2 linked regions of the Schizosaccharomyces pombe genome follow. The protein of the gene in region 1 binds, or shares a complex with, the protein of each later gene. Each region holds a gene or a part of one and is shown on either strand. Other genes may lie near its edges. The genes, in order: cut7 and nda3. A codon is read from its position in the direction of its gene.

What was found.
Region 2: the proteins of cut7 (region 1) and nda3 are in contact, whole or in part, in a cryo-EM structure (PDB 6S8M), measured with the Schizosaccharomyces pombe proteins. Residues at the interface, in NP_594527.1 of Schizosaccharomyces pombe: Glu217 (codon at 2,913), Arg233 (codon at 2,961), Val234 (codon at 2,964), Phe235 (codon at 2,967), Glu236 (codon at 2,970), Arg345 (codon at 3,297), Gln352 (codon at 3,318), Arg359 (codon at 3,339), Ala368 (codon at 3,366), His369 (codon at 3,369), His370 (codon at 3,372), Pro372 (codon at 3,378), Arg374 (codon at 3,384), Glu375 (codon at 3,387), Ser376 (codon at 3,390), Arg380 (codon at 3,402); in NP_596650.1 of Schizosaccharomyces pombe: Pro160 (codon at 1,884), Asp161 (codon at 1,881), His190 (codon at 1,794), Gln191 (codon at 1,791), Glu194 (codon at 1,782), Asn195 (codon at 1,779), Phe260 (codon at 1,584), Pro261 (codon at 1,581), Arg262 (codon at 1,578), Met406 (codon at 1,061), Glu410 (codon at 1,049), Ser413 (codon at 1,040), Asp417 (codon at 1,028), Ser420 (codon at 1,019), Glu421 (codon at 1,016), Gln424 (codon at 1,007).

What each region holds. Positions count from the first base shown.
Region 1 is NC_003424.3:4,305,705-4,312,240, reverse strand, and holds cut7 (kinesin-5 family plus-end directed microtubule motor, bimC subfamily Cut7), read left to right. Parts: upstream 1-1,903; 5' UTR 1,904-2,264; coding exon 2,265-5,522; 3' UTR 5,523-5,730; downstream 5,731-6,536. Other genes in the region: tif302 (translation initiation factor eIF3b (p84)), read right to left, coding at 1-1,662; rps2801 (40S ribosomal protein eS28), read right to left, coding at 5,915-6,053, 6,203-6,270; his1 (ATP phosphoribosyltransferase), read left to right, coding at 6,461-6,512. UniProt on the Schizosaccharomyces pombe protein: Could be a spindle pole body motor. On transition from G2 to M phase of the cell cycle, the spindle pole body duplicates; the daughter pole bodies seed microtubules which interdigitate to form a short spindle that elongates to span the nucleus at metaphase.
Region 2 is NC_003423.3:3,963,347-3,967,632, forward strand, and holds nda3 (tubulin beta Nda3), read right to left. Parts: upstream 2,628-4,286; 5' UTR 2,579-2,627; coding exon 2,567-2,578; intron 2,531-2,566; coding exon 2,481-2,530; intron 2,430-2,480; coding exon 2,388-2,429; intron 2,347-2,387; coding exon 2,292-2,346; intron 2,203-2,291; coding exon 1,317-2,202; intron 1,232-1,316; coding exon 930-1,231; 3' UTR 746-929; downstream 1-745. Other genes in the region: protein Sdh8, read right to left, coding at 48-269; GTPase Grn1, read right to left, coding at 3,354-4,286. UniProt on the Schizosaccharomyces pombe protein: Tubulin is the major constituent of microtubules, a cylinder consisting of laterally associated linear protofilaments composed of alpha- and beta-tubulin heterodimers.

The sequences.
Region 1 (6,536 bases):
TTCTTTCTTTTCGGTATCAAAATCTAAGTCGTAAAACTCCAAATCATATTGAGTAGAGGAACCAAGGGTTGCAGCAACCATAAATCTACCCTTAGGCGCCATAAAAAGTGAATTGCATGTTTTCTTATCAAAAGTAATGATATGACGGAAAGTACTAGGGGTGTTCTTTTTCTGCTCAAAACCATAAAACGATAAATTAGTTTTTACATTTGTAGAATTTAAAACTTGATCATTAGCTGAAATTATGGCAAAACGATCACTCTTAGGTTCCCAGGCAAAATTGAGAACAACATCCTTAAGATCCACTACTTCAACGGGAATATTTTTCTCACGAATTCGGAATATTTCAAGGTTAGAGAATGTTGATTTCTTAGTTTTTGTGTGACGATCAACCTTAACACATAAATAATCACCATTAGACTGCCAGTACAACTTACAGTCGGAAACATTGAAAAGATTTTTCGTACGGATAGTTGATTTTGAAGGAATACTAATTAAGGCAACGCGAGCAGGTTGATTGGTAATTTCAGGGGTCCAGTAAGCTAAAAGCTGCTCCTTGGAATCACGTCCGAGAGCATCTGAAACTGGGCACCATTCAAAATTTTGCACACCGTCGATCTTGATAGTTTTCTTGTCAACCAAAGCAAGGGAGGGTGTCTCATAAACAGAAATCGACTGACCAACAGTAACGCGAGCAAGGTATTTATCATCGGCAGACCACTTGAAAATAGGCCAAATAACTTTTTTGCCATCCTTTGAACCTTCTGGTTGAGGAGGAATCTTAAAAGAACGAAGAATACGACCAGAGGCAATATCCCAAACGAAGCAATGTTTTCCTTCATCATCATCAGTGAAAGGCATTGTTTCACGAGCCGGATGTCCGATGGGAGGAAGTCGAACAGGCTCATAGGACCATGAAACAAGATACTTCTCGTTAGGGCTGAAGTCGACAAATTTTACGTAGGGGTGCAAGAAACGAGCACACATTCCCCAAGATTCCCCACCCCATAATTGAATACCACGAAGATGAAGTGATACGAGGTAAGTGCCCATGGGAGACCATTGCACGTAGGTCTCGGTCCAGTTTTCACGATCCACAATCTGTTCAGGGACGTCGCTCTTACGGTTCCAGTTAACAGATACACGGTTACCGTAATAGCTGATAAATTGATCACGACCATAGTAATCAGTTAACCAGCTACGCAAATGTTCGCGCTCCTTAAATTCACGTTCTTCGAAACTAAATTCATCAGGAGTGCTAAAAGCTTTTTCGAGTTGATTCAACTTACGAACAACGAAAGTATGGTTTTTTAAAATTTGCTTTCCATCCAACTCTTGAACGCAAAGATCGGCGCCATCAACATTTTCAAAATCGGCGAAAACTAGTCCAAGAGACATCTTTTTTCCATTTTTTTCCTCAAATGGCATATAAAATCCATTTTCCTTAACCTTTCCAATTTTAGCAAGGACTTTTGAGCTCAAAAAACGGAAGAAATCTTGCTGCTTAGCTTCTTCGACAACTGGAGCACCTTCGATTACTACAACCGTGTCATATCCAACAGGTTTAGTTACATTAAGCTTAACTTCCAGTTCAGAAACATCGATTTCCTCGTCCTTTACGACGATTTGATCCTTAATTTCCTCAATTAGGATTTCCGACATTTCTGGTGTAGTGCCGTTGTCTCTAGTCAAGTTTCTTCACCCAGTGACTGGGGGGACATCGAAGAGTAACTTTAGAGAAATTTAAAAAAAATTGAAAGTAATGAAAAGTAGAATTTAAAAAACATGGTATCATTTAAAATAAACTAATAAAGTTGATTCTGTTTTATATTTCTTCTTTTTTAGATTTTAACTCATTCTACCGATTTTGACTATTATCATTACTGACAACAGTTTATCTGCCAAGTTCGTTCATTTTGTATTGATTTTTAGTATTAGCACAATTGTTGGATTTTTCATAAAAGTTCTTTTTTCTCTTTTTATACTGTTGATTTGTACTGCAAAACATTGGAATGAGACATTCCAAGTGTTACCGTGTCTGAGTCCTCGTTCTTGTTTACAACAATTCAACAACATACTCAGGAGCGACAATTGTCCAATTTATTCATTCTTTTTACCCCTAAAAACAGACGTTTACGATCTTTTCCTATTTTAAATTTACCCCTTTTTTTTATATTGTGGTTTATTGAACTTTACAACAGAATTGCAATTTAAATTAACAACCTTGTCGCTTTCTTTGTAACAATCCTTACTCATAAAACCGAATGGCCCCTAGAGTTGCACCTGGTGGCTCACAACAATTTCTAGGAAAGCAGGGGTTGAAAGCTAAAAACCCGGTTTCTACTCCAAATTCACATTTCCGCTCTGCGAGCAATCCTAGGAAACGACGTGAGCCTCCTACTATTGACACTGGGTACCCAGATCGCTCCGACACTAATTCTCCGACAGATCATGCACTTCATGATGAGAACGAAACCAATATTAACGTAGTCGTCCGTGTTCGTGGTCGTACAGACCAAGAAGTACGCGACAATAGTAGCCTTGCTGTATCGACTTCGGGCGCTATGGGTGCTGAATTGGCCATCCAGTCGGATCCTTCATCCATGTTGGTCACGAAGACGTATGCCTTTGATAAAGTCTTTGGTCCTGAAGCTGACCAGTTAATGCTATTCGAAAATTCGGTAGCGCCCATGCTGGAGCAAGTATTGAACGGCTATAATTGTACTATATTTGCGTACGGACAAACTGGAACCGGTAAAACATATACTATGTCTGGTGATCTTAGCGATTCCGATGGAATTTTGTCTGAAGGAGCAGGCCTTATTCCTCGTGCCCTTTATCAATTATTTTCCTCCTTGGACAACAGTAATCAAGAATATGCTGTCAAATGCTCCTATTATGAACTTTACAACGAGGAAATTCGCGATCTTTTGGTTTCCGAAGAATTGCGAAAGCCAGCTCGTGTTTTTGAAGATACTTCGCGGAGAGGGAACGTTGTTATTACTGGTATTGAAGAAAGTTATATAAAAAATGCTGGCGATGGGTTGCGATTGTTACGTGAAGGCTCTCACCGGCGTCAAGTTGCTGCTACAAAGTGTAACGATCTTTCATCTCGTAGTCATTCAATCTTCACGATAACTCTGCATAGAAAGGTATCTTCGGGAATGACAGATGAAACTAATTCACTTACCATAAATAATAACTCTGATGACTTGCTGCGCGCCAGCAAACTTCATATGGTTGATTTGGCTGGAAGCGAGAACATTGGACGTTCTGGAGCTGAAAACAAACGTGCTCGAGAAACTGGAATGATCAATCAATCACTATTAACATTAGGCCGAGTAATTAATGCATTAGTGGAAAAGGCCCACCATATTCCATACCGTGAGTCCAAGCTTACACGCCTATTGCAGGATTCTTTGGGGGGAAAGACTAAAACCTCTATGATCGTTACCGTATCTTCTACTAATACTAATTTGGAAGAAACAATTTCTACTTTGGAGTATGCTGCTCGTGCTAAAAGTATACGCAATAAGCCTCAAAATAATCAGCTTGTCTTTCGAAAAGTCCTTATAAAAGACTTAGTGTTAGATATCGAACGATTGAAAAATGACCTTAATGCCACCCGTAAAAAGAACGGAGTTTATCTTGCTGAAAGCACGTATAAGGAGCTTATGGATCGTGTTCAAAACAAAGATTTGTTATGCCAGGAACAGGCTCGCAAACTTGAAGTGCTGGACTTAAACGTTAAAAGTTCGAGGGAACAACTGCAGTATGTTTCTAAATCTAATCAAGAACATAAAAAGGAAGTTGAAGCTCTGCAACTGCAACTGGTTAATTCATCTACAGAGTTAGAAAGTGTAAAGTCTGAGAACGAAAAGCTGAAAAATGAACTAGTTTTAGAAATCGAAAAACGAAAAAAATACGAAACCAATGAAGCTAAAATTACAACTGTTGCAACAGACCTTTCCCAATATTACCGAGAATCAAAAGAATACATTGCTAGCTTATATGAGAAGCTTGATCGCACTGAACGAAATAATAAAGAAAATGAAAACAATTTTTGGAATCTTAAGTTCAATTTGTTAACGATGTTGAGATCTTTTCATGGAAGTTTTACTGATGAAACAAATGGCTATTTTACTTTGTTGAATGATTTTAATGCTTCAATGGAAGAATTATTGAACACCCACAGTAATCAACTGCTGATTTCTATGACCAAAATTACTGAGCATTTTCAGAGTTTAGATGAGGCGTTGCAAAGTGCTCGTTCTTCTTGTGCAGTACCTAATTCTAGCTTAGACCTAATTGTTTCTGAATTAAAGGATTCCAAAAACAGCCTTCTTGATGCGTTGGAGCACAGTCTGCAGGATATTAGCATGTCTTCCCAGAAGTTGGGAAATGGAATTTCTTCGGAATTGATAGAATTGCAGAAAGACATGAAAGAATCATACCGACAACTTGTTCAGGAATTAAGATCACTATATAATTTACAGCATACTCATGAAGAATCACAGAAGGAGCTAATGTATGGTGTGCGTAACGATATTGATGCTCTGGTTAAAACTTGCACAACATCTTTGAACGATGCAGATATAATATTAAGTGATTACATATCTGATCAAAAATCCAAATTTGAATCCAAGCAACAAGATTTGATTGCTAATATTGGTAAAATTGTTTCAAATTTTTTACAGGAACAGAACGAATCTTTGTATACCAAAGCGGATATCTTACATTCACATCTCAATGATACAAACTCGAATATAAGGAAAGCAAACGAAATTATGAATAACCGTTCAGAAGAGTTTTTACGGAATGCGGCTTCACAAGCAGAAATCGTGGGTGCCAATAAAGAAAGGATTCAAAAGACAGTTGAAAATGGATCTCAACTGCTTGACAGTAAAAGCAAGGCCATTCATAGCAATTCCAGATCAATGTATGACCATTGCTTGGCTTTAGCGGAGTCTCAAAAACAAGGTGTTAATCTTGAAGTTCAAACGCTGGATCGTTTGTTGCAGAAAGTAAAAGAGCATTCAGAAGATAATACCAAGGAGAAGCATCAACAATTACTTGATTTATTGGAATCCCTTGTTGGCAACAATGACAATCTTATCGATTCCATCAAGACACCGCACACTGAATTACAGAAAATTACAGATCATGTTTTAAAGGGAACGACATCACTTGCTAATCATACTAATGAATTACTTGGTTTAGGAGATGAATCTCTATGTAACCTTGAAACTACTATAGAAGACACGTCTTTGGTGAAGCTGGAAACAACTGGCGATACACCTTCCAAACGAGAACTTCCTGCCACTCCATCTTGGACACGAGATTCGTCTTTAATTAAGGAAACTACGAATTTAAATTTAGATTCGGATAAGAAATTCGTTAGGGAAACCTACACATCGTCTAATCAAACTAATGAGCCGGACGTATATGATAAACCATCTAATTCATCAAGAACTAGTCTTTTGCGGAGTAGCAGAAGTGCCTATTCCAAAATGAAACGATAATGACACGATTTTATTAATTTATACTTAATGGACGAAAATACAATAGAAATGTATTACATCTTGGGGCTTTGGCTGGTTAAAACGGAAAGTTTGGTTATGTGTGTACATACTGCGTTTTAAATAATAGTTTTAGGAGTTGTATACATATAAAGATTAATTTAGATAGAAGTTTAATGATATACAGACGAGGTTAATCGATATACAAGGACTCTGGAAAAGGGGTGATACATTAGCTATGTTCTTACTTTTACAATATTCGAAAGCAATATACAAGACTGATAAAATCTTTGAAGCTACAGATATGGCGTCAAAAAGCAAATTGAATCGTAAAAGGTGTAACGAGATTATATTTTTTGCAAAGATGCTCTTAACAACAATGGGCCAAAGCAGCTTTAACGCAATCTTCTGGCCTCACGCTCTGATTCAAGAAGAACCAAGATGTCATCTTCACGAACAGGTCCCTTAACGTTACGAATGATAGAACGAGAAGTGTCATCCATAAATTCGACACGGACTTGGGTGACTCCACCACTACAGAGAAGTTAGTAATCATTGCTTGCTGGATATACAAAAGCGAGGAATAATTAGAATCTTTTATGTTTATTCGTTTAACACAAATCAATTTATGTGAATACAATATGTTGAATTTAACAATAAACTGACAAGTTTCCCAAACTTACCGAGAACCGGTGCGACCGAGCACTTTAATGACCTTTGCCAATTTAACAGGAACCTTAGAAGAATCCATTATCCTCTTGATATGTATAAGAGTGCGTGGTGTTTAGGAAGAATGTATAATGCACCGCCTAAAATTATGGGGAACATTGTGACTGCTTTTTCGACATTGGTGGTGGTAGTTAGTAAACGGTACATACCGATGCGTGCGTGAATTGACTGTAACGCCATAGCGTACAAGTAATCCGTTACTAATAATTAGAATGGATTTGGTTAACCACTTGGAAGATCGGTTACTTTTTGCTGTTCCCAAAAGTAAGTGAAGCTTTTAAAGAAGCA
Region 2 (4,286 bases), on another chromosome or scaffold:
ATTCGAAGCATACTTTCAATATGTAATAATATTAATTAATAATGTACCTTTGGATTAACATCACCCTCAAAATCTTTATGTTTTTCACGGCGCATAACATCCACAGGACGTTTACTTGATTCTTTTTGTAATCTATCCCATTCTTCTTGCTGCTCTTTTGGAAGGCGAGGAGGTGTAGGCCTTTTCAGGTTTCCAGCATCATGCAAACATCTTGTTAAAGCTTTATTGTAATTTTTAAGAATGACAGCACGTAAATTACGATTAAACATTGTTTTGGTGCGATTGCAATGTAGTAAATAAAGTTCCTAATATACTTTTATATGAGTAAATTTCAATTTCGGCTTTTCGAAGCCACTCAATATTTCTCGTCGTTGACAAAGGCGAATTTAGAAAGTGGCGGATTGTTATACTGGTGGACGTTTATAAGTACTGGTATATCAAACGAGTTTACTTTCACAAAACGCAACATAAATACGATACGTAGCAGTAGGTGATAATTTAACTAAATTAATAGTTTATTGAATTTACAAATCTCACTGCATCTTTTGGTTCTACTTTTGGGAATTGACACTTAAGTATTAGACTTGCTTTATACATTTACTTTGTAATAGTCAAATATCTAAGCATATATTAGGGAATAGTAAATAGCTTTAATTCGTACGGTTTGGACTTACAAAAGTACTTTACAGACTTACTCGTGTTTATAGTACATTTCCACCTTGGTAGCCAGGCTAAAGCTATATTTAGAGTGTAAGGAGCATTTCAAAGCTATGAAAAAAAGTAAAGAGCGTTTAGCACAGACGATGCTTGGAATCCATATGCATCGGAGTAAAATAAAGCATTTCAATGAATGTAGGAAAAAAGGAACGTAGATAAACACTATTTGAAAATATATGGCACACTTGGATTATAAAAAGGGTTATAAGGGTTTAATACTCGAGAGGCTCCTTCTCTTCTTCAATTTCATAATCTTCATCACCCTCATCGATACCAGCCTCCTGGTATTGTTGATATTCGCTAACCAAGTCATTCATATTAGATTCAGCCTCAGTAAACTCCATTTCGTCCATGCCTTCACCAGTATACCAATGCAAAAAGGCTTTTCTTCTAAACATTGCAGAAAACTGATCACCCAAACGACGGAAAATTTCTTGGATAGAAGTACTGTTACCAATAAAAGTTGCAGACATCTTGAGATCCTTAGGAGGAACGGAACAAACAGCTTTGAGGACTATTTCGAGGTTAGCAGATGAGCATAAACAAGTAGAAAAAATAAACTAAATATACAAACGACGTTTTAAACCAAGTAAACATACCATTATCGGGAATCCACTCAACGAAATATGCTGAATTCTTAGTTTGAACAGAGCGAATTTGCTCGTCGACTTCTTTCATTGAGACTTTACCACGGAAAAGAGCGGCAACTGTTAAGTAACGGCCATGGCGAGGATCAGCGGCGACCATCATATTATTAGCATCAAACATTTGTTGAGTAAGCTCGGGCACAGAAACAGCTTGAAATGAGCTTGAACCGATGGCGGCAAGAGGAGCAAATCCTACCATGAAAAAGTGTAAACGAGGGAAGGGAACCATATTAACAGCTAATTTACGCAAGTCAGAGTTCAATTCACCAGGGAATCGGAAAGATGTGGTTACACCAGCCATTACAGCAGAGACAAGATGGTTCAAGTCATCGTATGAAGGACTCTTGATTTTCAACGTGTTAGCGAAAATTGAAGAAAGAGCCTCATTATCAATGCAAAATGTTTCGTCAGAGTTCTCTACCAATTGATGCATAGAAAGAGTAGCATTGTAAGGTTCCACAACGGTATCAGAGCTTTTAGGAGCAGGAGCAACGGAGAAGGTAGCCATCATACGGTCCGGATATTCCTCGCGAATCTTCGAAAGTAAAAGAGTACCCATACCAGATCCAGTACCACCACCCAAAGAGTGAGTTAATTGGAAACCTTGTAAAGCATCACATGCTTCAGCTTCACGGCGAACAACGTCCAAAACAGCATCGGCCAATTCAGCACCTTCAGTGTAATGGCCTTTAGCCCAAATATTTCCGGCACCAGATTGTCCATAAATAATATTGTCCGGGCGGAAAAGATTTCCAAACTTTCCTGACTTCACGGCATCCATAGTACCGGGCTCTAAATCAACAAGGACTGCGCGGGGAACATACTTTCCACCAGCGGCCTACAGTCGTCAGTACTAAATAAACAAAAAAAAATTTTTTCAAAAAGTTTTAAGCAACCGAACACTTGTAAGAAAGCAAAAAAACCTACCTCGTTAAAATAAACGTTCAATCGCTCGTGTTGTGCCTCAGAAGTTCCATGATATCTACGTAAAAGTCAGTAAAAAAACAAGCAAAATAGACCTACATTCCAGCTGAATCCAAACCATGCTCATCAGCAATGGTAGACCTTCCAAGCGTTAGTTGAGAGAAACGTTATAACAAAGTAGATTTTGCTTACCAAAAGGCCGCACCGACTTGGTTTCCGCATTGACCAGCTTGAATATGAACCTATTGATTAGCTTTGAATATTAAAATAGCTCGTACAATCTCACGCATCTAGACTAATTTATGGTGGTTTGTTTTGATGATCAGTTTGGTGGTAGGTGAGTTTCGTTAGGAGGAACGGATTGAGAATACCAAAAGTACCAAATCGTTTTTATACGTTTCAGAAATTCTAAAAACACAGTTTATTGCAGTTATTTACTAGTAGGCTTTTAAAAAAAATTTTTGTGTATTTATTAGCCGATTGTTAATTGAAAAGAATCAAGTCTTAAATCATTGCTTATTAAATAGTTTACTTCTTTTATATACAAGCTTTTTTTCTTTTCTTTGGTAATGTATGTAACTTTATTTATTCTTTAGTTTATATACATAATTATTAACTGCTAAACAGATTAATTTGATATTATGCCATATTCAGTAGTAGCGCAAAATAGTATGGTTAGAATTGTTTGTGTTTATCCTATCAATTGATATAAAAATGAAATGAAACTTATAACTGCACGTTAGTATCAATGTCATTTTCCGTACATATTCAATTGACTTTATTTAAGCCAGCATGCATTGATTTAATAATTTCCCGTATTAGCGAACCTATTACTTAAAACTTCTCCCATATCAAACATTACTTTTACAAGTAAATGTAAAACAACACATTCAAGAATACGGCATATATGCAAAAAAAATTATTTATATATTAATTCAAAAAGTAATAGCTAGTAACCATCAACACCTAAAGATTTTTAAAACCCGAAGAAAAACCGCAACCGAAAACCAAATCCCAAAATATAAGCTCTAAGCAACAATAGCTTTTTTCGTAAGTTGAAAACTCTCAAAAATCATTAAGGTCAAATTCTTTGGCCCACTCAGTAACGATTTGAGTATCCTGAACTTCAGATGAGTTCTTTTCGTTTATAACCTCAGGCTCGGCCCACCATTCGATACGACCAGCATGCCAGTCATTAATGACAATATTGGCAGCAGCGTTAAGATTTGGAATTCCACCGCGACCTAGACGACCACGCTTACGAGCAATATTGACTAAAAAATCAGTAGCAGTGTCTATATCGGATGTATTCAATAGAGGAGGAAGCTCATATCTTTGAAACATTCTTTCCAATTGTCCTGGAACTCTGCTAAGGAATTGCAAAATGTAAGAAGCAACGGCAACGGGATCATCAACTTTGGTGGATGAAACAGCATTAAGCATTACAAGACGATACAAATCGTCTTTAGAATCACTAGAAGGAAAAACAATACCAGGACTATCGACCAAACGTAATTTGTTATCTAGCTTCACCTCTCGCAAAGAAGTAGTCATTCCGGCAACGTTTCCGGCAGGACAAGGTGCAGAACGACCATTCGCAGAACGGTTGACAAGAGCGTTAATAACAGATGATTTACCAACGTTGGGGTATCCAATTACACCGACTGTAAGAGAGCTTTTAAGCTTCTTCTTGGCTGAGTAAGACTTGAGTGATTTAAGAAGATTGGAGATAGTGGAACTAGCAGAAGCCGACTGGTGCTTTAAATTTGAGTTTCCAGATCCTGAAGCGGAACGCATAGGAATCGTAGGAAAGAAATTGCGGAGATAGGTAACCCACTTGTTGAGTACTTCTGATGGTACTAAGTCAATTTTGTTGATAACGAAAATAAGACGCTTTTCTTCAGCAGAAGATGCTAAAACTTGACGTTCAACGTCTTTTGAACGAGTCCCTTCAGGATCACGAGCGTCAAGAACGTAAAGAATCACATCTGACGCTTC